Rattus norvegicus: one gene and its partners. Each later gene encodes a partner of the first gene's protein in a complex. Links are inferred from orthologs where the notes say so. Each region holds a gene or a part of one and is shown on either strand. Other genes may lie near its edges.

The links.
Region 2: Snrpd2 (region 1) and Prpf4 share a complex: the UniProt entries of both Homo sapiens proteins name them as parts of the U4/U6-U5 tri-snRNP complex. The link is inferred for Rattus norvegicus from reciprocal best matches to the Homo sapiens genes SNRPD2 and PRPF4.
Region 3: Snrpd2 (region 1) and Srrm1 share a complex: the UniProt entries of both Homo sapiens proteins name them as parts of the minor spliceosome. The link is inferred for Rattus norvegicus from reciprocal best matches to the Homo sapiens genes SNRPD2 and SRRM1.
Region 4: Snrpd2 (region 1) and Sf3b5 share a complex: the UniProt entries of both Homo sapiens proteins name them as parts of the minor spliceosome. The link is inferred for Rattus norvegicus from reciprocal best matches to the Homo sapiens genes SNRPD2 and SF3B5.
Region 5: Snrpd2 (region 1) and Rbm48 share a complex: the UniProt entries of both Homo sapiens proteins name them as parts of the minor spliceosome. The link is inferred for Rattus norvegicus from reciprocal best matches to the Homo sapiens genes SNRPD2 and RBM48.
Region 6: Snrpd2 (region 1) and Strap share a complex: the UniProt entries of both Homo sapiens proteins name them as parts of the SMN-Sm complex. The link is inferred for Rattus norvegicus from reciprocal best matches to the Homo sapiens genes SNRPD2 and STRAP.
Region 7: Snrpd2 (region 1) and Prpf3 share a complex: the UniProt entries of both Homo sapiens proteins name them as parts of the U4/U6-U5 tri-snRNP complex. The link is inferred for Rattus norvegicus from reciprocal best matches to the Homo sapiens genes SNRPD2 and PRPF3.

The regions. Positions count from the first base shown.
Region 1 is NC_086019.1:87,925,070-87,929,208, reverse strand, and holds the start of Snrpd2 (small nuclear ribonucleoprotein Sm D2), read right to left. Parts: upstream 2,801-4,139; 5' UTR 2,727-2,800; coding exon 2,725-2,726; intron 1,436-2,724; coding exon 1,256-1,435; intron 232-1,255; coding exon 57-231; 3' UTR 1-56. Other genes in the region: Qpctl (glutaminyl-peptide cyclotransferase-like protein), read left to right, coding at 3,425-3,634, 4,096-4,139. UniProt on the Homo sapiens protein: Plays a role in pre-mRNA splicing as a core component of the spliceosomal U1, U2, U4 and U5 small nuclear ribonucleoproteins (snRNPs), the building blocks of the spliceosome.
Region 2 is NC_086023.1:80,885,511-80,887,722, reverse strand, and holds part of Prpf4 (U4/U6 small nuclear ribonucleoprotein Prp4), read right to left. Parts: intron 428-2,212; coding exon 305-427; intron 190-304; coding exon 82-189; intron 4-81; coding exon 1-3. UniProt on the Homo sapiens protein: Plays a role in pre-mRNA splicing as component of the U4/U6-U5 tri-snRNP complex that is involved in spliceosome assembly, and as component of the precatalytic spliceosome (spliceosome B complex).
Region 3 is NC_086023.1:152,858,437-152,861,936, forward strand, and holds part of Srrm1 (serine/arginine repetitive matrix protein 1), read right to left. Parts: intron 3,498-3,500; coding exon of another isoform or gene 3,460-3,497; intron 2,971-3,459; coding exon 2,696-2,970; intron 1-2,695. UniProt on the Homo sapiens protein: Part of pre- and post-splicing multiprotein mRNP complexes. As a component of the minor spliceosome, involved in the splicing of U12-type introns in pre-mRNAs. Involved in numerous pre-mRNA processing events.
Region 4 is NC_086019.1:9,175,920-9,178,401, forward strand, and holds Sf3b5 (splicing factor 3B subunit 5), read left to right. Parts: upstream 1-1,269; 5' UTR 1,270-1,414; coding exon 1,415-1,675; 3' UTR 1,676-1,982; downstream 1,983-2,482. UniProt on the Homo sapiens protein: Component of the 17S U2 SnRNP complex of the spliceosome, a large ribonucleoprotein complex that removes introns from transcribed pre-mRNAs.
Region 5 is NC_086022.1:31,512,506-31,516,726, forward strand, and holds the start of Rbm48 (RNA-binding protein 48), read left to right. Parts: upstream 1-1,421; coding exon 1,422-1,532; intron 1,533-2,016; coding exon 2,017-2,207; intron 2,208-4,212; coding exon 4,213-4,221. Other genes in the region: peroxisomal ATPase PEX1, read right to left, coding at 979-1,107. UniProt on the Homo sapiens protein: As a component of the minor spliceosome, involved in the splicing of U12-type introns in pre-mRNAs.
Region 6 is NC_086022.1:172,383,825-172,387,324, reverse strand, and holds part of Strap (serine-threonine kinase receptor-associated protein), read right to left. Parts: intron 563-3,500; coding exon 426-562; intron 1-425. UniProt on the Homo sapiens protein: The SMN complex catalyzes the assembly of small nuclear ribonucleoproteins (snRNPs), the building blocks of the spliceosome, and thereby plays an important role in the splicing of cellular pre-mRNAs.
Region 7 is NC_086020.1:186,089,628-186,093,904, reverse strand, and holds the start of Prpf3 (U4/U6 small nuclear ribonucleoprotein Prp3), read left to right. Parts: upstream 1-1,477; 5' UTR 1,478-1,587; intron 1,588-3,764; 5' UTR 3,765-3,812; coding exon 3,813-3,957; intron 3,958-4,277. UniProt on the Homo sapiens protein: Plays a role in pre-mRNA splicing as component of the U4/U6-U5 tri-snRNP complex that is involved in spliceosome assembly, and as component of the precatalytic spliceosome (spliceosome B complex).

The DNA of each region.
Region 1 (4,139 bases):
GCGGGACTTGGCTGGGCAGGGAGCAGGCTCTCAGCGGGCTGAGGCTGGCCTCTAGTTTACTTGCCAGCGATGAGCGGGTTCCGCAGCACCACAATGACTGAGTCCCCGCGCAGGAACATCTTGGAGATGTAGCGGTCCTTGTTGACAGGCTTGGACTTCTTCTTGCCCTTGCCGCTCTTGGGGACCTCAGTCCACATCTCCTTCACATTTTCCAGCACCATGTTGCAGTGCCTGATGGGGTAAAGGGTGGAGGAAAAAGCCAGAGTGAGGGGGACATTCTGAATGTGTGAACCCTCCAGCAGCAGGCATAGGGACGGAGTTCAGGTTCCACAGTGGGGATGGGCAGGCTTCAAGGTGTGATCTCAGCCCCATCTTAAGTGTCCCTTCTGTGCCTCAGTTTCCCCCTTCTTGAAATGGAAACAGTCTACTTCATGGGGCTGATGTGAAGATTGGATGAAAGAAGCACTTAGGACCCCGGTACACAGTAAAGGTCACCAAAATGGCCCTGGCTCTGCAGTTAACTCTAACTCTGAGAGAAGCATTAGCTCCCTCCAAACCTTAAGTTCTGGGGTTAGACATGGTTCCCAACACGTGCACTCCAGTGCCTCATGGCCCTGTCCTCATGCAGGTGGACATGTGCTCACACTTGGATCAGTTCATTCCACGAATGCTTGCTTGAGGACAGTGACGATGAGCAAAGTACAATGCCAGATGTGTAGGACCACGTCACAAGGCAACTTCCATGCTAACTAAAACAAGGCAGGAGGGTATGCTTCGCCCCTGTAATCCTAGCGCTTGGGAGATGGTAGCAAGAGGATCAGAAGCATAAGGTTAGCCTCTGCTACATCTGTAGCCAGCCCAGGCTACATAGTTAAAGACCCTGCCTCAAAACAAACTAGAAAGCAGTAGAAGATATTTGACATTGATGTCTGGCCTACAGAGGAACAAACCAAACATCTTAATTCCTGTCCCTCCTCCTGCCGGGGATCTGATGACTTCTGAAGGTATTAGACATGTCCACAGTACACAGACAGACTCACCCGCAGACAAAACGCCCAAACACATAAGATAAAAAAAAAAAAGCCAAGCACCCCCACTTTCTAATTTTTTGAGCTAGCTGGGTCTTGCCCTGTGACCCTGGCTGGCTCCAACTGACAGTGATCCCCTTGAGTGCTGAGACTAAAGGCACTTTGTCACCTTGCCCACCTTATTACGACAATTCTTCTCAAATGACCTTCCCCAAGACAATGCCCACCTGTCAAAGGCCTTCACCCGGCCCAGGAGCTTCTTGTTGTTTCGACAGTTAATGAGCACTTGCGTGTTGTTTTTGACCGACTGTGTGAGCACCGAGAGGGGACCTGTGTTGAATTCCTCCTCCTCCCGCTTCTGCAGCTCCTCTGGGGTCATCTCACTCTTGGGTTTATTGAGGAGACTCCTGGATAGAGAACCCGGGGGGTGAGACGGGTTCAGGTTGGAAGCATAAGTGACCAAAGCTACATTGTCCAGTGTCTCCCCAGCCTGGCCCCCAAATGCCCTTCCTGGTACAGTCTTCTCTGGAGGCAGGAGAGACATTTCCAAGTTAGCCTGCTCCAGCTCATTAACCAAACCTCGTCCAGCCACTGTTGACCTTGAATTCTCAATTCTCCTGACTCCATCACCCAAGGTCTGAGATTACAGGGGGCTCACCATCATGCCTGGCACCTGATTCTTTCAAACCTCACTCTGTCGTCTTATCTTGTCATCTGCTTCCATGATATGTCCAAAAATTTGGCCATTTCTCTTCCATCCCACCCCACAACAGTGTCTCCCTGTATAAATAGACCTGCCCCTGGAACTCAGACTTGTCTGTCTCTGCCTCCAGGATACTGGGGTTACATCTAGTCTGTGTGTGGCTGAGGACCAAACCCAGGGCCCACAGTAGGTAAGTACTCTGTCCACTAAGCTAAATCCCCAGCCCAAGTATTGGGCTTTCAATGCCCAATACTTCTGTGCTACCTACTGGTGTTATTTCTTTCCTACTCAATTCTCCATTCACACTCCTGATCATCTAAGACATACTGTATGTACTTGTTTATTACTCTATGGCTTTCCTATTGGATTCTTTTTATAAGCCCTGAGAGATTTTTTTTCCTTGGTAGCAAGGACCTTCTATTTACCATGTGTCTAACTTACAGTCTACATAATATCCGCTCAATGAATAAACCATTGTAGTAGCCTGCTACTCTGACAATCTCTAATTAGGTTCAAAAGTCCTAATTTATCCTGGTTAAGTCCCATACGTCTCTATTTACTATTTCTAATAGTACTTCCTTCTCCGCCAAGCTCTTCATCCATTAAGACCACTTCTATATAAAATTACTATTACTTTTGTAAGCGGACACGCTATGAAGCTGGTCAAGGCTGACCACCAACTAGCGATACTCCTGACTCAGCCTCTCTAGGCTTGGGATTCTAGGCATGTGCCATCAGACTCAGTTTTTCCTTTACGGTTCATTTCCGCAAGCCTCGGTACCTAGAAGAGTCTTACACCCATTATGGAATAAAGCTGTCCCCTCTCCGGAACTCAAGAACCGAGGCCCCATGCCCGTTCTCAAATCCCTCAGAAGACATTATTTTTGCCCGAGAAACTCTACCCTCAGCTATGAGCACCCCATTTCGATTGTTATTTAGCTAAACCGTCCCCCTCCATCTTCGTGTCCCCGCCGAAGCCCGTCCCGGCCTCACATGGTGAAGGTTTCGCTAGCAGATCACTCCCGCCTCCAAGCGCGTTGCTTTAGCCTTTGGAGCACAGCAAGAGAAGGGCGGGACTTCCGTCTCCTGCGGCTGACTTCCGTCGACGCCTGCGCAATCACGACTGTGGGCGTGCCCTGTTACCATAGTGACTCTAAGGCTACGCTCTCCTGCAGAAAATGCCTATAGGGAGGATTTGAAGCCTCTGAGGATCACAATAGGTTGTCTGCTCATGCGGAAAATAAAACGGGGTCTGACTGAAATTGTTTTCCCGCCTAACTGTCTAGTTGGGAGAAGGAAAACGCAACCCGGTTTCCAAAATACCCGCCGACAATTTTCTTGAGGGCATGGCTTCAGGCAAACCAATCGGTTCCTTGTTTTAGGGATGGATGCCGCCCCTTTTTCCTTGAACCACAGTTTCTTGATCGACTTCCGTAAGGGGCGTGGCCCCGCGCCGGGGAAGGTTTCGTATATTCGGACACAGCTCATTGCCTGTTTCTCTCCCGTGGGGGCGGGCCTTAAGGTTTCCGCGCTCCCTTTTGGGTGGTGCGGCGCTTAGGAGAGCCAATCGCAATCGATTGGGGGAGGACGCAGTTACTGTGTTTCTTTATTGGCATTTGTAACCTCCGAGAGGCGAATCTTGGCCTAAACTCAAACCACCCTGCGGGGGGATTGGTTTCAGGGCAAAGCTGCCATGAGTCCGGCCAGCCGCGGGCGGTCTCGGCAGCGGCTCGGGGATCGCGGCCTCATGAAACCACCCTCACTTTCCAAGCGCCGTCTTCTGCCGCGGGTGCAGCTCCTGCCCCTGCTGCTGCTGGCGCTGGCCCTGGGCTTGGCTTTTTATATCGTCTGGAATAGCTGGCACCCTGGGGTTGAGGAGGTATCACGGAGCCGGGATCTGCGGGTAAGCCTTGGCTGGGGCCCAGCCAGCGTCATTTCCCTCTTTCCCTTCATATTGAGTCTCGGGTTAGCGTGGCCTTATCGTTTAGCCCTTGCCGCCTGTGCTATTTCTTTATCCATCACTTGAGCGTATGCCCCTTCCCAACAAAATAAGGTTTCAGGCTTGTTTTATGATTAGACCCCTCTGAAGAGGATGCATCCGCATAGAAACACTGGTAGATCTGAGCTCTGTGCCCAAACCATTTATTTAGAAGTCTCCATCACCCGTTTGCAATTTCTTCGTCAGGACTGCAGTAGGCTGGATCAGATTTGCTTTGAAGATTTCTCCCAATCTAGGAAATCTTTGGATGCTGGAGACTGCATCACCAAGAAGAATCAGCATTCCTAGTGGGCAACCGCGTCCGGGATAAGTTGGGAATGGGATCTTTTTCATTTTTCTTTCCCCCATCCCATTTCCCAACCAAGGTCCCGCTGATCGGAAGCCTTTCAGAAGCCAAGCTGCGGCTTGT
Region 2 (2,212 bases), on another chromosome or scaffold:
TAGCTGTGGATCAGATGCATCAGTTAGAAACATAGAGTGCTGTCTGACCTGGACCCTTCCCACTCACTGAGTCTGCTTTACCCATTGGGGGAGAAACTTATCCCGTAGATCTCCTTCAGATGGCCTTCTAGGAACATAATGCAGCGTCCTGTGCGTAGGTCCCAAACTCGGCCAAAGGCATCCAGTCCCCTGAGGAGACAACATTTGTGTGAACATATGGAATACAGTGTGACAAGAAAGCGGGGTTGCCTAAGAGGTGAGACTACTAAGCTGCCCTTCCCTTGCTTTGTGGAGGAAATCTTACCCAGTGCCAGCCAAAGAGCCATCTTGATGGAAGGCAATGTCATACACACCCATGCTGTGGCCTTCCTGGTGTAGAATCTCCTCTTGAGCCTCTAAATCCCATAAGCGCCATGAACGGTCATAACTTAAAAATAAATAAGAATAAATTTTCCAACTTACCAAAATTATACCAACGATAAATCAGCAGATTAAGTGTCTATGACAAGGGGTTGGGGATTTAGCTCAGTGGTAGAGTGCTTGCCTGGCAAATGCAAGGCCCTGGGTTCGGTCCCCAGCTCCGAAAAAAAAGAAAAAGAAAAAAAAAAGTGTCTATGACAAGGAACTATAGATAACCATAGCTTAGCTCGCCGCTGGTCAACCATACTACCAAGAGCTGCCAGGCTGGAGGGGGACGGCTGAGGACAAAAGCAGACTGCTCTTCCAAAGGTCCTGAGCATGATTTCCAGCAACCACATAGTGGCTCACAACCATCTATAATAAAATCTGGTGCCCTCTTCTGGTGTGCAGGCATATATGCACATAGAACACTACTAAATAAATCTAAAGGCGGGGCAATTGTATCCTAAAAAAAGGAAAGAAAGGAAGTAAGGAAGGAAGGGGAAGAGAAGGGAAGGAAAAGGAAGGAAGGAAGGAGAGAGAGAGGAAGGAAGGAAAGAAGGAAGGAAGGAAGGAAGGAAGGTAGGTAGGTCTTTCTGACATGAGCAATGCCTCACCGTCCAAGAGTCTGTTTTAGTTGACAGTTGGGAGACCATGAACATTCTGTACTTTAGTGGGTATTCTTTAAAAAACAAATTCCCTGGATTGGGGTTGGAGCTCAATAGTAGGGAGGTCTTGCCTGGTATGTGCAGGGCCCTGGGTTCGGCCACGAGCACAAAACAAAAACAAACTTCTTGAAGAATGGCCCAGCAAAGATGGCACTGCCTCCCCCTCATTCCTCTGCTGCACTCCTTCACTCATCATCAGGCATTTGTGTATTTACTGGAGACTCAATTGAAATTTGGGCATTAAAGAAAGAAAGGACAAATAGAGCAGATCTAGAAATAGACCCGAATGTGTACAATCAGAATGTTCTCATTAAAGGTGCAAAAGGAATTTTAATGAAAATCTTAAAGGATGGTTGCAAACAGGTTTTGGTAGTACAAATACAGAACAGATAAACTCAGGAAGGGCAAAGCAATTGGAGCCTGCACTAAAGATGTGCAAGATGTGTGAGCATGTGGCAAAATAAGTGCAACGCCATCAGGGTGGGACACTGACATGAGGTATTACTGTGTGCTCTACTGTGGGCAAAACAGTACGACTGGCAACAGCAGACACCGACACAGCTACAAACCAGAGTGGGTGGAGCCCAGCTGTTTCTAAGATTTTATTCTGGGGAACAGCGTCTCACTATGAAGCCCAGACTGGCCTCAGTTGTGAGGCCCTTGTGCTGAGTGTTGGGACTGTAAGCATATGGCACTGAATCCAGCTTGCCCAAATCCTTTAAAAGCTAACATACATCTACTCTATACACCACCACTCCACAAACTAGCAATTATATTGTAACTATCTAAGAGCAAGGGAAAGACAACCACTATATCTACAAAAAGCTTCAATAAGGGTATTTATAGATGGCACAGGATGTTATTCCAGAGGACCCAAGTCCCAGGACCCACACAGCAGCTCACAATCATGCGTAACTCTAATCTGATGCCCTTTTTCTGGACGCAGGCAAAAAACTCATACACAAAACATGAAAAAAGGGTGTTTACAGTAGTTTTATCTTGACTGGCCACAACCTAGAAACATGCCCACATGTCCATCAACGGGAGGATGCATAAACCGTGGCTCAGACACACAACACACTACAACTCAACAACACTAATGGGTATAAACAGGCAGAATGAACGCAATCAAGTCATAGGTTGTT
Region 3 (3,500 bases), on another chromosome or scaffold:
CTTGTTTGGCTGTAAGAAAATGTAGTGGTTATCCCTACAGGATAAATTGGTGCATGTTAGTTACGGAATAAAATAACTAAACTGTAACACTGCTTTTATATATCGAGACAAGATCTGGCCTCAAACTGGCTATGTAATACTGGAATGAAAAAAAAAAAGAACTGCGCCCTCAGCGGATGGTGGTGGAGCACCTTTATAATCCCAGTACTTGGGAGGTGGAGGCAGAGGCAGAGAGAGGCAGAGAGAGGCAGGAGGAGCTCTAAAGCCAGCCGGGTCTACAGAGTTCCAGCACAGCCAGGGCTACACAGAGAAACTGTTTCAGGGGGACAGGGGTGGGGTGCACTGTCACATGGAGCCAACATTACATATTTTGTTAAAAAAGTGTGAATAAACACATGGGAAAGTTCATCCTGACTCAATGTCTCAGTAAGTCTTTAGTACTATTTACAGCATACGCTTTATCCTTTAACCCTTGAGATAAAAGCATTACTACAAGTAACATTTTCTGTATTTTTCTAAATGAGATTTTTCCTTTTACTGTTATGTTAATAGTGTTTTAATAATTCAAAGAACAAATCATTCTAGCATGAAGTCAGAAATCCGAGACCAACTCTAAAACCAGAATCTTAAAACATTTCAACAGTCCTATTAATTATTAATCTCAGATTGCCCAAAAGATAACTTGTCACATAGGAAAATACATGAAGCATTCACAGAGCACAATTTAGCTGATTTAAAAGGGACAAGCTGTGGCAGGACACTTGACTCAGAACAAGTTCATGCAGTACTCAGATCATGACTGATTCAAAGTTGCTTCAAAACACCCTCAGAAGGGACTGTGAACTGTGCTCAATGACTGACCACCAAATCCCACTGCTCTTCTCTCCTTACTCCTAGTTCATTAGCCCATTATCAACAACAGATCCTAAGATGGCCAGCTAACATCTCCTCAGGAACTCCACACTATAGGAGTGCCCCTGCCCTAAGTACCCAGAGACCCCAACGTGGGCATTTCTGATCACAGTACCTAGTGGAGAAGCCAAACAACTTCCTCATTCCACCCTCCATCTTCCTCCCTAGTCACCAGAGACATCCCTCAGTGGAGCAGCAACTCAGCAATTCTCACTGCGCAGTAACAGGAATGGACACTTAAACTCTTACTAACTGTGGCTAAGTCACTCGATCAAAGAACCTGACTACTGTGGTCTTCTGTAGCTGTCAAATCTCAACACTACGGTCACATCCACAGAGCTCAAACCTATTTAGAGCTTCAGTGGACATAAAACAGACTAAACTGCCCACAGTGTAACTGTCTGGTTAAAGAGGCTGCTCCTTGCCTCAAGCCTACAAGAACACACAACAGGTCCCGCTGCCCACAACCGTGTCTCCTGAATGCAGTTATCTATGACACGTGTGCAAGGCCCACATCAGAGCAGGAGCCTGGCACCTGTGCAGGCTCATAAGTCGGTAACTAATAAGTTCCAACAATGGCCATATTTTAATAGTTAACTCCTTCAGTTCAGGTAGAATAAAATAACTTCTATATAATCTAAATGAAAAAAAAAATGTATTTTCCAAAATAATTGTGGGAACTCTGAACAGTTTTTTTCTTCAGAGAGCTTTCTAGCTCTAAACACAAGAAATGTTTATGCGTGTAAATGTCATAGGAAAGACAAGTGAGCGAGAGCAATGAGTACTAGATTAGGACATGGTGATGGACTCAAAGAGAGGCTGAAATGTGCTCATTTTTATATAAAATTAATACAACGCATGCTAAAAAATAGTTAAATATCACACATTTGGTTACTGAATGAACTTGATGTTAAAATTAAGTAATGATCTGTACTTTAGTTTTTATGGTTTGCCATTTTTAGCAGGTTCTCTTCCCACAGCTATCCCTCGGTGGAACAGGTGGAACGCACAGCTTGACTAGGCCTTGTGGTGCTCCCTTGTTATCCAGGCACTTTGGGCAGTCAGTGGGCTCAGAACACCACTCTCGAAAACCCCAACCCTCTCACCCCCCCTCCACTCACCTTTCAGGCTGCCCCTATTTCTCCAGCCCTAGCACCAAAGGCACCACCGGAATGGATCCTCTCCCTTTTCTTCACGTGTGCTTAGTGCTAAATAAAGCAAACCCCAGCAAACCAGTTTCCACACTGACTAATACACACTCTACTTTGGCTGGCACAACCACAGGCCTCCAGTTCTTCAGAAACCAATCTACTGAACAGAGTAGGGACATCATCTTAGATTGTAAATCCATAAATCAATCAAAGAAATAAAGCAAATCAACCTTGAAGGGGACACCATGTCCTTCCCCTGGGAGCATAACTGTGACCAAAAATAACAACAGACACAAAGTCTGCAAATAAGATATTAAACAAAAGCCTTAAGCAGAGGTGTGGGGAGGGAGGGTGGAAAATAGTTAACTGATCGGTCTCAATAAAACGAACCTTTACAGTAAGAACACACGCTTCAATTTGTTACCCCACTCAAACAGCCTCAACCGAGCTATGATCTGTGCCACCTGTGCATAGAGGACAATGAGGAAAAAAAGCATCTTTACATATTGTCCCATTTCAGCCAAGCCCATTCAGTGTCACATAGAAAGTACTGCCCAGCCTATTCTGGTGGAAGGTAGGTACAAGTGGGCTCACCCAGATGCCAAAGGGAACAAAGTGCGTTGTGTTTGTACCTTTACCCGAGGTTCTTCCTGGAGACACAGACACACGACTTTTTCTTGCACGGTTTGACTGCTGGGGAGTTGGGGAATGGCGAGTTTTGGGTGGCGGAGTTGCTGGAGATGACGGCCGGTGCCTTCGCCTCGGAGGACTTGCCGAAGGTGATAACCTACGAGTTTTCCGAGGAGGGCTGGATGTCCTCTTGGGAGGCTTCTTTGGCGGTGACCGGGAACGAGATGAAGAGGACGACGAGCTACTTCCAGACAGCGATGCGGAAGAACGTCTCCTTCTGTGGAAAAAGCACTCACTTCACTACCTGCGTCCCTTTGAAGAGTGACTTCACAGTATGTACAATATGCACAGAAACACAGCTAGTTCTTTTAATCCAACTTTTGAGTTTATGTAGCTAAGTACATAAATTACTTCAAAAATATTGGAAACAAAACCATAACCTAGGACAGGAAACAGCTATCTCTGAGAGTAAAACACATAACTCCTGATTGTGTTTGAGCTATGAATGCTATAATCCAGTAACCAAGCAGCCCCTTCCAGAAGGGAATACTGGGGTTATGGAGTTTGCACAACTTTGAGGGTGAGAGACAGAGACAGTGAGAGGGAGAGAGTATTGTTCATTCAGAGTGATGTCTAGCAGCTTTTAAGTTTCACTAAAAAATATGTGCAAGATTTGAAATTCATTTAGCTACATAAACTTAGAAGTAGGGGCCTCTCGAATTCTGCAGCAAAATCTGTGGTTAAGTTCTGTTGCAATTACGTGTACCTGCAGAATTCACCTTTGGCAGAAGAATTCCTGAGAACCTG
Region 4 (2,482 bases), about 79 Mb from region 1:
CTCCTGGAACTCAGAGAGCCACCTGCCTCTGCCTCTAAAATGCTGGGATTAAAGATGTGTGCTGCCGGGGTTGGGGGATATAGCTCAGTGGGAGAGCGGCAAGGCCCTGGGTTCGGTCCCCAGCTCCGAAAAAAAGAAAAAAAAAAAAAAGATGTGTGCTGCCACCACCTGGCAAGATGCTTTATGACAAAGTTTAGACAGAAGAATAAATATTAGATGGAGTTGCACAAGTCTCTAGTCTCAGGAGTCAGGAGGATTGCTGTGAGCTCAGGGACAAAACTTCGCCTCCCCCCTCTTACATCAAATAAACAAAAGTACCCCCAAACTCCTGTATTTTCAATTTGTCTGTCATCATCCATCCTCTCTGGCTATGATTGCTCTTACCCCATTCTTAAGATTTTTTTTTTTTTTTGAGAATACAATCTTCATCACGCTATTCGCATATCCTCAGGGAGTACCATGAAAGAAGTACAATTATCTTTTTCTGAGTAGTTTGTACCATGCGAGAAAGTGCACAACCCCCAACATAAGGCAGAAATCAGCAGAAAAACACAAGATGAAGAGAAAGAGGTTTCTTGTCTCGAGCCATATCCGACTTCAAGGAATAGCCTATGAATGACCTTAAAGAGGGGTTGTTTGCCCAAGGCCACAGAGCCTAGGTGGGTTGAGAAACTGGCGCCTGGAACTCCTTAGGGAAGCCATTAATGAGACTACCAGTGCTGACACTGATCAACAAGCAGCTAGCGAGAGTCAAAAAACAAAACAAAACAAAACAAAAAAAAAAAAAAAAACAACAAAAAAAAACTTTTCCCGGTACCCAAATCCTAAGAGACAAAACTTGGGCCAAGGCGGAACCATGCCACCATGTTAACTTCTAGGTACAAGAGTTAGTTTTCCTCGTTGCTCATACTGTTGTGTTGCGGCAGTATGAGATTTCAATGACAGTGGGATTATGAAACCCACGTAGGTTTCTCCTTCTTTGTAGCCCGGAGCCGTGGGATGAAGCTTCGAGGTTTTTGGACATTGTCCTATATAAGCCAGGCAAAACCCCTCAAAAACAATCTAAGACAAACTCTTTGGACTACATGTCCCAGAATGCAACGCGAGGGTTAGAACGTGATCACCCAAGAGCCACTAAGAGGACCATCATGCAACGCTCTTCGAAGTAGGCGGGCTCCGTGAGGAGACGGCCCACTGTTTCCTAGGCAACCCCAATCCCGCAACAGACTTTATTTCCCCTTCCGCCTAGGAAAAGAAAGTACTCCTGCGACTGCGTGTCGTCTTTCTCCTGCGCCAGCACGAATAGAGCTTTTGTGCGGCGGCAGCGGCGGCGGCGTCTCTCTGATTTGAACGCCGAACAGCGGTAGCTTCTCATCTGTGGCCTGACCTCGAAGCCTAAGAACAGAGCGGCGAGATGACGGACCGGTACACCATCCACAGCCAGCTCGAGCATCTGCAGTCCAAGTACATCGGCACGGGCCACGCCGACACCACCAAGTGGGAATGGCTTGTGAACCAGCATCGGGATTCCTACTGCTCCTACATGGGTCACTTCGACCTCCTCAACTACTTCGCCATTGCTGAGAATGAGAGCAAAGCGCGCGTGCGTTTCAACCTGATGGAGAAAATGCTGCAGCCCAGCGGGCCGCCGGCGGACAAGCCGGAGGAGAACTGAGGCGAGCGCTTCCCAGCCTTCCCCATCTGCCATCTGTGGACCGATCCTCCTGACTCCTGCTTCTCGACCATTCTCCGTTGGGTGTATCGCCTGACCTGCTTACCTGTGGACGGTTCCGAACAAGTCATCGAGAGACTGTCGGGTCTCCTGGGAGCTGTGCGGAAGGAGTGATCCCAGAATCGGCAAGCGAGGGAGAAGACTGCCTGGGAGTGATGACGCATTCCGAGTCAGCTTTTCGATAGTTGATGTCGTTCTCGCCTTTTTTTTTTTTAAATATATATCATACATAAAGTTAGGATTTGTTATATCTTTTGGTTTGAATTGCTGTGTTCTTTGGGAGGTATTTGGAGAGAGTTCTGTGGATCAAGATTTCGTGAGAATATGACTAGAAAACGGGGGCGGAAGCACAGGGCAAGCGTTTATTGACAAGTACTTTAGTTGTCACACACACTTTTATGATCTTCCCTCACCTCGATTTTCTTCATGCCTACAGTGTGTCTGGTACCAAGGAAACCTTCAAGCATGGAGTTTTTCCACATTCCTTCCCACCCATTTCTAGTCTTTGCTGTCATTAACCTCACTTCCCTTTATGCTGCAGCCCCCTCCCCCCTTTCTTGGTAATTAGTTTGTGTGTCTTCAGAAATGACAAACTGGCAAACAATGGTGTCCTGTCCCGACCCTGCTCCACCTCTCCCCATTCAGTTTTCACCAGAGCATTTTCCAAAGGTTTGAGGACATACATTATGCCGGCCAGTTTGGAAGCAGATATGCTAAACTAGTCAAGAGTTAGAAGATGGAGGGGGATGG
Region 5 (4,221 bases), on another chromosome or scaffold:
TTTTCTAAACTCATGGAGTGGTGAATTTATTCCTATAAACTCATTAATTTGGGATTTGAAAGTACATTGAAAATCTCCATCAGAAATGACAGGGAACAGTGAACTAAGCTGGAATTTGGTGACAGTGACTGATTCCTTTTAGCCAACAGAAAGCGAACTAGACAGTTAAAGAATATTTAATATTTGGTGAAGACAAACTAATTAACAATAGGAATAATTCCGATGAAATTGGTGTGTTTTGATAGGCGGACTGTAAAAGCAAGATAAATCAAAGAGGAAATAAAGGTGGAATACAAGTCATTTCAAACTCTTGGATATTTCTTTTATGAGCCAGTATTCCGCTACCAAGCACCTAGGACTTTAGATTTCAAATAGTCTAACCCCATGAATACACTCAAACTAGAGAGTCTGTGCTCACTCTTAATAAAACATGGAGGCTGTCTCTCCACCGATGGAGTAATCCTGGCTTCGCAGGTGAAAGTACGAGGTGTGAATAATTCCATTGCCTTGTCACCCCCCCACCCCTTGTGGTGTCCGAAGTCCTCCTAAGCAGGGAGAGCTGTCACTTTATTAACCTTTGGCACAGGTTGGAAACCTTGGTAATCTACCAATCAAGTCTGCCACTCAATGCTTCTATGGCTGCACTGGCAACTTGTTGGCAGGATAACGCTTTAGCAAAACCAGTAAGAGCTCTCTAGAGCTTTCCATCCTAGAGTGAGGACCGCTTCTGAATGCTGAGGCAGAACCCTAGTATGTTCAGTCTGGTTTAACCGAGTTAAAAGGGTGCCCAGTAGGGTCTGGGGATGCACTAGTCGGGGTGTAGGTGCACACACTGCCTCCCCACGCCATGCCCGCAGAGGGCCCTCGCTCACGCCTCAGTGCGGGTTCGGTGGCAAACACTGTCCGGACCGGGAAAGGTGTCAGCGAACACTAGTCCCACAAGACATCGATGGTGTCCGCGTCCGGTCATCGCGTTACCTGCAGCAGGTGAAGCTGGGCCACGAGGTGCCGTGGCAGATGGAGGAAGCAGTCCCGAGCATTCGTGAAGGCCACCGTCACGACCGCCCCACCAGACCCCGCACCGGCTAAGCGATCACTGCTCCACATTGTCCCAAGGTTCAACTCTCGCCGGAGAGCCGAGTCCGCCGGCTTCCCGTCAGGCCAGGGCGTCGGAGCCCGAGAACATCGATCGGGGCCGCCCCCCTCTTCACTCGCCTGACCGCTGTCACTCTCGGATCGCTCCTCCGAGGCTCTAGGGGGCGGCACATCGCTCGTCGAAGTCTCGCTCTCCGGAAACAATCGTCGATGGGGTCGATCCTCCAGCCAATCCTAACACGCTTGGCCCATACTGCTCTCTCATTGGACACAAAGGAGCACCGCTGGCGGATGTTGTTCTGGCGCGGGGGCTTGAAGCCGGCAAGATGGCCTCCAGTGACGGGAAACCCGGTGGCATATTCGACCACCACGTCCAGACAGCTGTGTGTGACTCGCGGGCCAAATACAGGGAGGGCCGACGCCCTCGCGCGGTCAAGGTAGAGTGACTTGGGTTCCTTCTCTCTCCTCGGCAGGAGCATTAACTTCCTGTCAGCACTAGCTCTCCATGGCCTGCCTCCATAAAGGCACGGCAGGGATGCTGTCAAGTCCATCTCTCAGTGGAGGGGGCACGAGGAACAAAGTTTATCGCTGTTGTCGGTTTACTGCTTACTCCACGATTTTTAGCTTTGCATCCTATAATACAAGGACAAGGTCTCACAGGACAAGCCCTGTTAAGTGACTGTTTACATTAGCTTCTCTGGGGTCAACTTTGGGAAAAGACGTCTGTTTAGTCAGATACCCTTATGTGGAGTGTGTTATTCTTTAGGCAGAAAGAGTGACAGTTTTGTGTGTATGTTTTGCAGACCATATTGAGCAGAGTATTTCTTGTTTTCAAAGCTCCATTTAAAAGAGGGATGGGAAGACAGATTTGCCATAGGCTTGTTTGAAGAGTACGTTTAACGGGCTCTCCCCCGACTTTAGGTATATACCATCAATTTGGAGTCTCAGTACTTACTAATACAAGGAGTTCCTGCAGTGGGAGCCATGAAGGAATTAGTTGAGAGATTTGCTCTCTATGGTGCGATTGAACAGTATAATGCTCTAGATGAATACCCAGCAGAAGATTTTACAGAAGTTTATCTCATTAAATTTGTGAAATTACAAAGTGCAAGGTATGTACAAGTTAAGCAGAACTCGCGTCTTCTATTCCTGTTGCCGTCATTTCGGCCTCAGGATTTCCCAAACAGACCCAAATCACATGAGCACTTCTCACTCTCAGTCTTCCTGATTTGGGGGTTGGGGAGCAGGGTTTATTTGAATAGCTTTAGCTGTGCTGGAATTAGTTCGATAGACCAGGCTGGCCTTGAACTCAAAGAACCCTTTGTCTCTGCCTCCCGAGTGTTGGGTCCAAAGGTGTGCAACACCCCATCTCGCCTTCTGGTTTAGTTTTTACCAGGCCTCACATATGCAGTCAGTCACTCTAACAGTGAATGATATCCCAGCTCTTCCTTCTGATGTTCGAAAGGCTGACTTTACAACACTTTTCCCATCCTGTGCTTGATGGTTTCTGAACCTGGAGTGTGGTAGATTTGGGAGATGAGGAATTACATTTGAAGCACATTTCCAGTCCTATGGCTTCCTGACTTTGGAGAATTTTATTCCTGCCAAGCACATTTTTTTTTCTTTTCCTAAAATCCACAGGGCAAAAAGGTCTACTTCTTGAGGTTCACTGAGGAAGGATGAAATGAAACAATTTATGTAAAAGGATTAGACTGGTACCTCCTATTAAGAGTAAATATTAGAGCCAGGCAGTGGTGGCACAGGCCTTTAATCCTAGCACCTGGGAGGCAGAGGCAGGTAGATTGAGGTCGAGGCCAGCCTTGTCTACAGAGCTAATTGCAGGACAGCCAGAGCTACCCAGAGAAACTGTGTCTCCAAAAAAACAAACAAACAAACAAAAAAAACCAAAAAACAAAAACAAAAAGTAAATATTAGTAATGACAGTTCTTATTAGTATGGTTCTATGTTAATCAACCTTGTATTCCAATAAGACTGAAGTCAACAATGCTTTATTTTATGTTAACCCTTTGGGTGGGGGAGTGTGTGACTGTAGGTGGGTGCACGCCTGCGTGTGTAAAACTTGCTATGTAGGCCAGCTGACTAGAACTCAACTTCCTCCTGAATCTGCCTCCCCATCCCCACCAGGTTTAAAGACATGTACCACTACAGTGTACTCTACCCTATGTTTTGAGACGAGACCCTTATTGAAACTAGAACTCATGGCTAGATTGGTTGGCCATCAGGCTCCAGTGGTCTTACCTTCTCTATCTCGCCAGCACAGGGATTATAGGCACAGTACGGTGCCTAGTTTTTATGTGCACGCTAGGGATCTGAGCCTAGCTACTCAAGCTTAAACAAGTACTTTTTCAACTGAGCAGTCTCCCTAGCTCATGTTAGCCATTTTTTCTTTTTAATCATTAACATGATCTAAACCATATCCTTCTCTGGCTTTTGCCATTTATAAATGTTTTGGTGGAAAAGGGCTTCAAATCCTCTGGCACTGGAGTTACAGGTGGTTGTAAGCTATCCAAAATGGGTCTGGGATTTGAATCTACTCTTCCCAAAATCAGCAAGTGCTCTTATCACCCACCTAATTATCCCTCCAGCCCCTGTGTTTCTTTTGTTCGCTACTCCTAGTCCACCACAAAATCACTTGACTTCAAAAGGCCATGTGCCTTTTCTTACCAAGTGGGCAACTCTTCGTGGTATAGAGAGCAGATTCTCTAGCGCCTTGTATCTCTACAGACCCTGATACAGTTGGCTTTGGAGTCAGCCATCTGAGTTGAATCCTAGTTTTATAGATGAATGTATGTGACCCAGAATTTCCCGGTGCCTTGGTTTTACCATGAGATGGTTATGAGATGTCAATTTAAGTGGCACACTTGTGGCTTTGCATGGAGTAATCGCTCAATAAACATTAATCATTATCTGTAGATACAGAAGTACTTAATTACTTACAGTGCTTGGTTCAGCATAGGTGTTCAGCATTTCTTTTTTAAACATTATTATTTCTCTTATTTTTATGTGTATGTGGCGTGGCTATTTGTTAATTGTTTTTGAACCATGTAACTTATGCATTTCTTTAGCATTCTCTTTAAGTTATGCATTTCTTTTTAGGATAGCTAA
Region 6 (3,500 bases), on another chromosome or scaffold:
TGAGTTCAGTCTTGTCAGAGGGTCTGTATTTCTATCAAAAATGGATAACACCTTTGTTTTTGAAGGTATGAGTTTCCAGTTTTAGTTAGCTGGAAAACTTACTTTCAACAAACCATACGTAAATACCTAAGGCATTCATAATATTTTGATAGTAAATTATTTAAGGCAGTGGCTCTCAACCTGCCTAATGCTGCAACCCTTTAACACAGCTGTGGTGGTGTAGTGACCTCCACCAACCATAAAATTATTTTTGTTACTACGTCGAACTAAAACTTTGCTACTGTTATGAATCATAATACCTGTGTTTTCCAATGGTCTTCAGCAATCCCTGTGAAAGAGTCATTTGAGACACACACATCCCTAGAAGGGGTCAGGACCCACAGGTGGAGGGAGATACCTGATTAAGGGGAGAGAATGAGACTCACCTAATTCCTCTCCACTATTATAATCATACTTATACAGTTTAAAGTCTTCTCCACCAGCAACAAGAAATTCCTTCTCAGGATGAAGAGATGCAGAATTGATGGTTGCAGGAGCTTCAAAGGATTTAATTGGCTCCAGACTGTGTGTGAAGGAAAGAACACAAAAACATAAATGTCTACAAAATTTTTAACACTGCATAAATAACTATCTAGCCATATTAAAATTAATCCTAAAAAATTATTCCTGAATTCTGAAACCCAATACACAGTAAATAGAGATTCAGTTAGGTGTATATGACTTAAGATTGTTATATTGTTATACCCTAATGGACCTCATCTCAGGAAGACATTTAGTAGTGGGAACTCCATATTCTGAGCAGGAGCCACTTTTCTGATCAATGTCTTGGCTGATAAACCGTATTTGGGACCTTGTATTGTTTTTGAGACAGAATCAGTACGGAGTCCAGAAAGGCCTTCAACTTGAGATCCTCCTCGCCTTAACTGTTACTGGGCTCAGGTTTAGAGATGAACATCATGCCATGCTGGAACTCAGTCCAGGAATGGAGTTCTGTGAGAATTCTGCATGCTTGTGAGAACTCTTCAAGAAAACTGGAGTCTCCTGACCTCAGTTTCTTTAAAGCATGGAGTAGCTGTTGGAATGATTTATGCTCCTCCTGTGCAGGGGGTAGGAAAGTCCTCACTTCAGATTACTTACTAGTACTTGCTGTTGTTACTCAATTACATGTAACTAGCCTTGTGACTGTACAGGTTAAGCTCTTAAGATGCCTCTCTCTTTACCCTCAGTGGATATAAACTGTCTGATGCTCTGAATAAAGTTGGCTATTGCATGAGACTTTAACCCACCTCCTTTGTCACCTCCATTCTCCCAAGCTCCACCACTTAGAGCAGTGACAATGCCTGATTAGTTCATTTTCTTCTGAAAAATTTCACTCTATTTTTCTCTATAAACATGCATTATTTTAGTAAATACAAAAAGGTCATACAGGCTGAGCAGTGGCACGCATCTGCATACCAGCACTCAAGAGGCTAAAGAAAAAAGAACCCAGCCAGAGATACATGATGAAGAGCACCCTTAAAACCCTGCTTTAAAAAAAAAAAAAAAAAAAAAAAAAAAAAAAGAGGGGTTGGGGATTTAGCAGAGTGGTAGCAAGCACAAGGCCCTGGGTTCAGTCCCCACCTCCGAAAAAAAAAAGAAAAATCAAAAGTCAGGGACAAGGCATTTGCTTAGCTCGACACTGACAAAGGTAAACAAGAGCAATATTTTACAGTAGGAATCACTACAGTACAAAGGGATGTTAAATGTCTTCTCAATTGTGCAGGGTGCGAGGTGCAGGCTTCAGGCTCCTCCTGCAACACCTACCACTGCTCTCAGCAGCTGTTTCTAACCAGGGAGGGAAGGCCCTGTGCTGGTCTGAGGGAGAATGAAGCCTGTAGTCTTTTGCCTGGTTCCCAGTTAGACTAGTTTGAGAAGGATTAGGATGGTTCAGGGTGTGTCACTGGGGAGTGAGCGGAGTTCACGAGCCCCTGGCAGATCCAGTCTGGTTAGCTGTGTCAGCTCCAGCTTGTGGCTCAGATACAGGCTCTCATCCACTGCTTCGACGCCATGCCAGCCTGCCTCCTGCTATGATGGCCACAGACTTATGCTCTGTAAATGTAAGCCTCCAAAAGCTCCCACTTAAATGCTTCCTTTTGTAAGTGCCTTGGCCATGGTGTCTCTTCCCAGCAATAACTAAGATTAATTAGTTGCATTATAATGAAACTGTATTTATCAATGCACAACTACTTCCCCTAAAAAAAAACCCTATCTATTCTTTACAGCCCTTTTCAGTTCAATCCTGAAAATTATTTCAACATAGATCATCAATCAACACACACCGCATATAAATAGCCAGGCATGGTGGCGTCTAACTTTAACCCCACCCAGCACTCAAGAGGCAGAAACAGGTAAAACTGAGTTCAAGGCCAGCCTGGTCTATACAGAGTTCCACAACAGCCAAGGATATGCAGAGAAATCCTGTCTTGGAAAAAAAACAAACACACAAACCCTAAAGTTGGCTGTGCTGTATCTAGCATTACAGACCAGCCCTCGGTATTTCAAATATTCAACGGGCCAGTGACTACCAAATGAGATCTGAGGCAACAGTCTAGAGCAGGAATGCACGGTCCAGAGATGAACGGTTACAGTTGCACAATCTCACGATCTGTGTAAAAGTATTCCACTAATAGCCTTCTTGTGTTTATAGGAGCTCTCTTACATGTTTTAGAGCTTCCGTGTCATTTTTTGTCCCCTATTCAATGAAGCTAAACACTGTGGTATTCTTCAAGACCATATCATAAGACTACTGTCAGAGGGGAATGTGGTCTAATCTTTACAGAAACCCTTTAAATACCAAGGCTAAGAAGTGCACAGTCAGTTCTACAGCTGAACTCAACATTGTACTTACAGGATTCCAGTACTGAGAACAAAGATATAGCACAATACCAGCTACACTGCTCAGGGCACTGAAACATAAGCTCTTACAATTTAATGCACTACAACCAATAAAAATGTTTTAAAGGTGTTTTAATGGATAAAAACACTTTTAATTAAAAAACAAGATTATATGCATCATAGTCCTAATAATTAAAAGAAAAAAAAAAAAAAAAAACCAAAGCATGCACATACATGCACACACAATGAATGGGTTTGCATTACTTCCCTCCCTGCTTTTAGATTCTAGGGATTCAAACCCAGGTTCCTAATCCATGCGAGACAAGCACTCTCACTGAGCTGTATCCCTAGACCTTGTCTCTTTAAAATTTTAATTAGAAAAAAGAAAACAGTATCAGTAATTTCTACATAGTAAGGAATATACAACACCTTGCCAATGGCTCCTTTGATAAAAAACAATATAAAATATGCCAATAAATATCCTAGGTAGCTAAAATTTGCTAATTCCTGATTACAGTATGCTCAACCTAAGAGACAGGTGCTAAGAGGAGTGGGAGCACTTCCCTCTGTCTGAGTTACACAGCACAGGTATTAATCTGCCTTTAAAAGAATCATGCAACTTTCTG
Region 7 (4,277 bases), on another chromosome or scaffold:
CTGAGTTGACAAGGTCTTTCCTTAGGTACCTGACATGTAGGTGTTACCTCCCACTCTGCAGATGCAACCACTGAGATGATTACTGTCATCTGCCACCACGCCCAGCCAAATGGCAGAAGTTTTCCATGTCCAGTTGACTTTGTTGCTCTTGTTTTTGGTGTAACATCTAAGAATTCATTGCCAAATCCAATGCCATGAAGACAAACCCTGTTTTCTTCTAAGAGTTTTTGTTTGCTTTGTTGTTGTTTCAAGATGGTTTCTCAGGGTTGCCCTGGTTTTCCTGGAACTCACTCTGTAGACCAGGCTGGCCCCAGATTCAGAGATCTGCCTGCCTTTCTCTAAATGCTGGAATTAAGGACTATACACCACCACTATGCCAAAAACTGACTTTTACAGATTACATGTATTTATGTACCTTGTGTGTGTGCGCACACACCACAGTCACCTGAGGGAGTCAGAGGACATCTTTCAGGAATCGGTTCTCTCCTTCTACCTTGTGGGTCCTGAGCATTGAACTCAGGCTGCAAGAATTGGTGGCAAGCACCTTTACCCACTGAGCCATCTTACCAACCCCAACAGAAACTAGAACTAGAAGAAATATGCGGTAGACTCATTAGAAAGTGAAGTTGTTTCCTAGTAAGATGGAAATTAGAATTTTCCAATAGCATGAAGGTTTTTAAAAAAAAGATTTATATATATATATGTATATATATATATATATATATATATACATATATATATATAGTCGCTATCTTCAGACATACCAGAAGAAGGCATCAAATCCCATTACAGATGGTTGTGAGCCACCATGTGGTTGCTGGGAATTGAACTCAGGACCTCTGGAAGAATAGTCAGTGCTCTTAACCACTGAGCCATCTCTCCAGCTCTATCATGAAGGTTTTACTTTTTTTTTTTTAATTTTATGTGAATACACTCTCGCTGTCTTCAGACACACGAGAAGAGGGCATTGGATCCCATTACAGATGGTTGTGAGCCACCATGTGGTTGCTGGGAATTGAACTCAGGACCTCTGGAAGAGCAGTCAATGCTCTTAACCGCTGAGCCATCTCTCCAGCTCAATTTTTTTTTTTTTTCTTTTTTTCCGGGGCTGGGGACCGAACCCAGGACCTTGCGCTTCCTAGGCAAGCGCTCTACCACTGAGCCAAATCCCCAACCCCTAATATTTTTTTTGTTTGTTTTTACTATAAAGGACACTTTGAGTACGAATGTGGATGTCCTTGCTTTTAGTTCTAGCAATAAGGTTAGCGCACTAACTCTTGACCCAAGGGAATGTGCTGCCAAACGACTTCTGCTCCCGGCAATCAGGACTGGACTAACGTTGGCTTTGCTCCGCGGCAAGTCAGCGAGCGGACTTAAGCTTTAGGATCCCGCCGCGCGTGCGCCCGGCCGCCGGCACCTTGATACCGCGGCTGCGCGGCTCAGGTCCCGCCTTCTCAAGTCACGTGTTATAGGGACCGCAGCGTGGCGGTGGCTCTGGCGGTAGCGACGGCGGGCCATAGGGCAACCGGAAGGTTTCCGGTTCCGGTGTAACGTTCGGGCTCCGTCTCAGGGGCTGAAGTTTGTGAGGTGAGTAGTGGCCCTGCGCCCGAGAGGATAGCCTTCGGTCCGAGCGGCTGGACAGGGCGGGAGTGTTCGGCGGGAAGCAGGCTGAGAGGAACCCCGGGTTCTGTTGGGGGACGGAATCAGAATGGGCTTGCTGAAGGAAAAGGGCGGGGGCGGGAAGGAGCAGGGTGGGCAGACCTGCTCTGAGGTGAGGAGTTAGGTCGGACTCGGTTGAAGCGGGGGCCAGTTGGAAAGATAGTAAAGAGGGAGCATGGGGGACTCAGGGGCTTGTAGCTTAGAAAAGTAAGGAATTCCTTCAGAAGATGAGAGTCTGCTTTCTGCTCATTCAGAAGACAGCCTTCTGCCTTCCTCCCGTTCCCCTCTACCCCCCAGGCCCACACCGACACTGACGCCTCCTCGCTATTATAGTTATTTGGTTGGTGACAACTGTAGTGATTGGAACTTTCTTATCCATTGACTGCTTCGTTTGCACATTCGGGTCGAATTTGAAGACATCTATTTGTCAGTATATTGCCTGGGCTCACATCCAGTCTTCTAGTGTTTCACCTATTACTTTGGATTTTGAAAATTGCTTAAACTTTCCAGTCTATTACTCAATTGTAGTGGGTCGTAAGTTTCATTAACACGAGGATTCTTGGCTGTTTTGTTCACTGCTGTATGTGTCTTTACATGCAGTAAGTATTCTGCTTAACAAGTAATAGGAACTTAAGTATTTACTGAATGGAGTGTTATGTCAGATGTTCCCACTTTCTAAGATGAGTATCCTGAGGCTCTGGTGATTAACTTGCTTACCTAAGGGCTTATAAATGGTAGTGCTTACTATATCCTCTCTTCAGTGGGCTTTCTTCTCCACCTTTAGTGCCTGTGTTTGCTTTCTTTTTGATAGGCAGTATACTGCTATCTCATGATGGCCCAAAAAGCAATCCCAGGATTATTCATAAGACTTGTCACTGAGGAACAGCCTTTCAGCTTCATTCAGGTGTATTAAATACTGTGCATTGATAGATCTTCTGAGAGATAAGTCTGTCAATTGTAGGAGCTAATTAGACTGCATCTTTTTGTTTTATGACAAGGTCTCATATAGCCAAGAGTTGACATTGAACTCCGTAGACAAGGCTGGACTTGAACTCCTGATTCCCCTTGTGCTGGGATCACAGACTTGTATGGTCATTTGAGGTGGCATCTTTTAGATGTCTTTAAACACCTTGAAAGAGTCATTTCCCAGATCGCACTACGATACAGGGCAGTGCTAAGAGGAGGTCAGCTGGGAAGTTAAGGTCAATTGACTGACATACAGCCATTGGGAAGAAAATCAGAAATTAAGTTAACTTTATGCTGGTGAAGATGTTTGAGATTTAAGAGTACCCAAATGTAAGCATGAATAGTGTTGAAATTTTACACCAATTTGCATTAAGTAATAAAGAATCATTTTGGCATATAGAATGCTTACAACCATGAATAAATCTACAGAGAAATGACAGCATTCTTAAAGATTATGAGATTTAACAGGAGGACTGACTTGAATAAAACCTCTTATTTGTATCCATTAAAGATGTTTTAGGTCAAAGCCGGGTTAGAGAATGCCTTCCAGAGTAGACGTAATAGTAAGGTTGACTTCTAGATTGACTCTTCAGATGTTCTGTTTGCCTATCCTTTATATGACAGAGTCAGAAGTTAGAACCCATTCCTCAGATTAGGTTATTCCTAGTTTGTTTATTCTTCAGATAGTGTTGATGACTGATGCTGAGTTAGAATCAAAATATCAAATGAGTGGGGCATGGTGGTATGCTCCCGGAATTCCTCACTAGGTAAGTGGAGGAGAATTGCCAAGTGTTGAGTTCTGCATGAGCTACATTGTAAGACCCTATCTCAAAACTCAGAAAAGCTGGGGCTGGGGATTTAGCTCAGTGGTAGAGCGCTTACCTAGGAAGCGCAAGGCCCTGGGTTCGGTCCCCAGCTCTGAAAAAAAAAGAACCAAAAAAAAAAAAAAAAAAACTCAGAAAAGCTAATGGAACCCTTTCCTCCTGTTTTGAAGCTTGGTTTTAGGGAAAGTATTCTCCATATCAAATGGAGAGACATGCCTAGGGGTTGAAAATAGGAGTGGGGAAAGCACCCTTATTATACTGTTATCTTGATTGCTTTGTTTTCCTTTTCTCTGACTCTTGCTTGGTTTCTTTTAGGTGTAGTACTTTGTCCGATTTGAGCTCTTAGTCTCTGTTTCCTCCAAAATGGCACTGTCTAAGCGGGAACTGGATGAGCTGAAACCATGGATAGAGAAGACAGTGAAGAGAGTGCTGGGTTTCTCAGAGCCCACGGTGGTCACAGCGGCATTGAACTGTGTGGGGAAGGGCATGGACAAAAAGAAGGCGGCTGGTGTGTACCTCTCTGACTCTTCTGACTTAACAAGTATATTGATTCCAAACACTAATTTGAAACTGCCCCAGGTTGTTCCTATTGGAGCATCAAAGGAAAGGTGGGGCTAGCCCCTTCTCCTTTTGTTGTTGTTTTCTTGTTTTGTTTTTTTGAGACAAGGTTTCCTCTGTAGCGATGTCTGGCCTGAAACTCAGATATCCACCTGCCTCTGCTTCCTGAGTGCTGGGATTAAAAGCACACACCACTCCCTCCTCCCCCTTTTTTATTAAAAGACAGGGTCTCATGGATCCCGGCCTGGCTTCCAGCTCACTAGCCGAGGA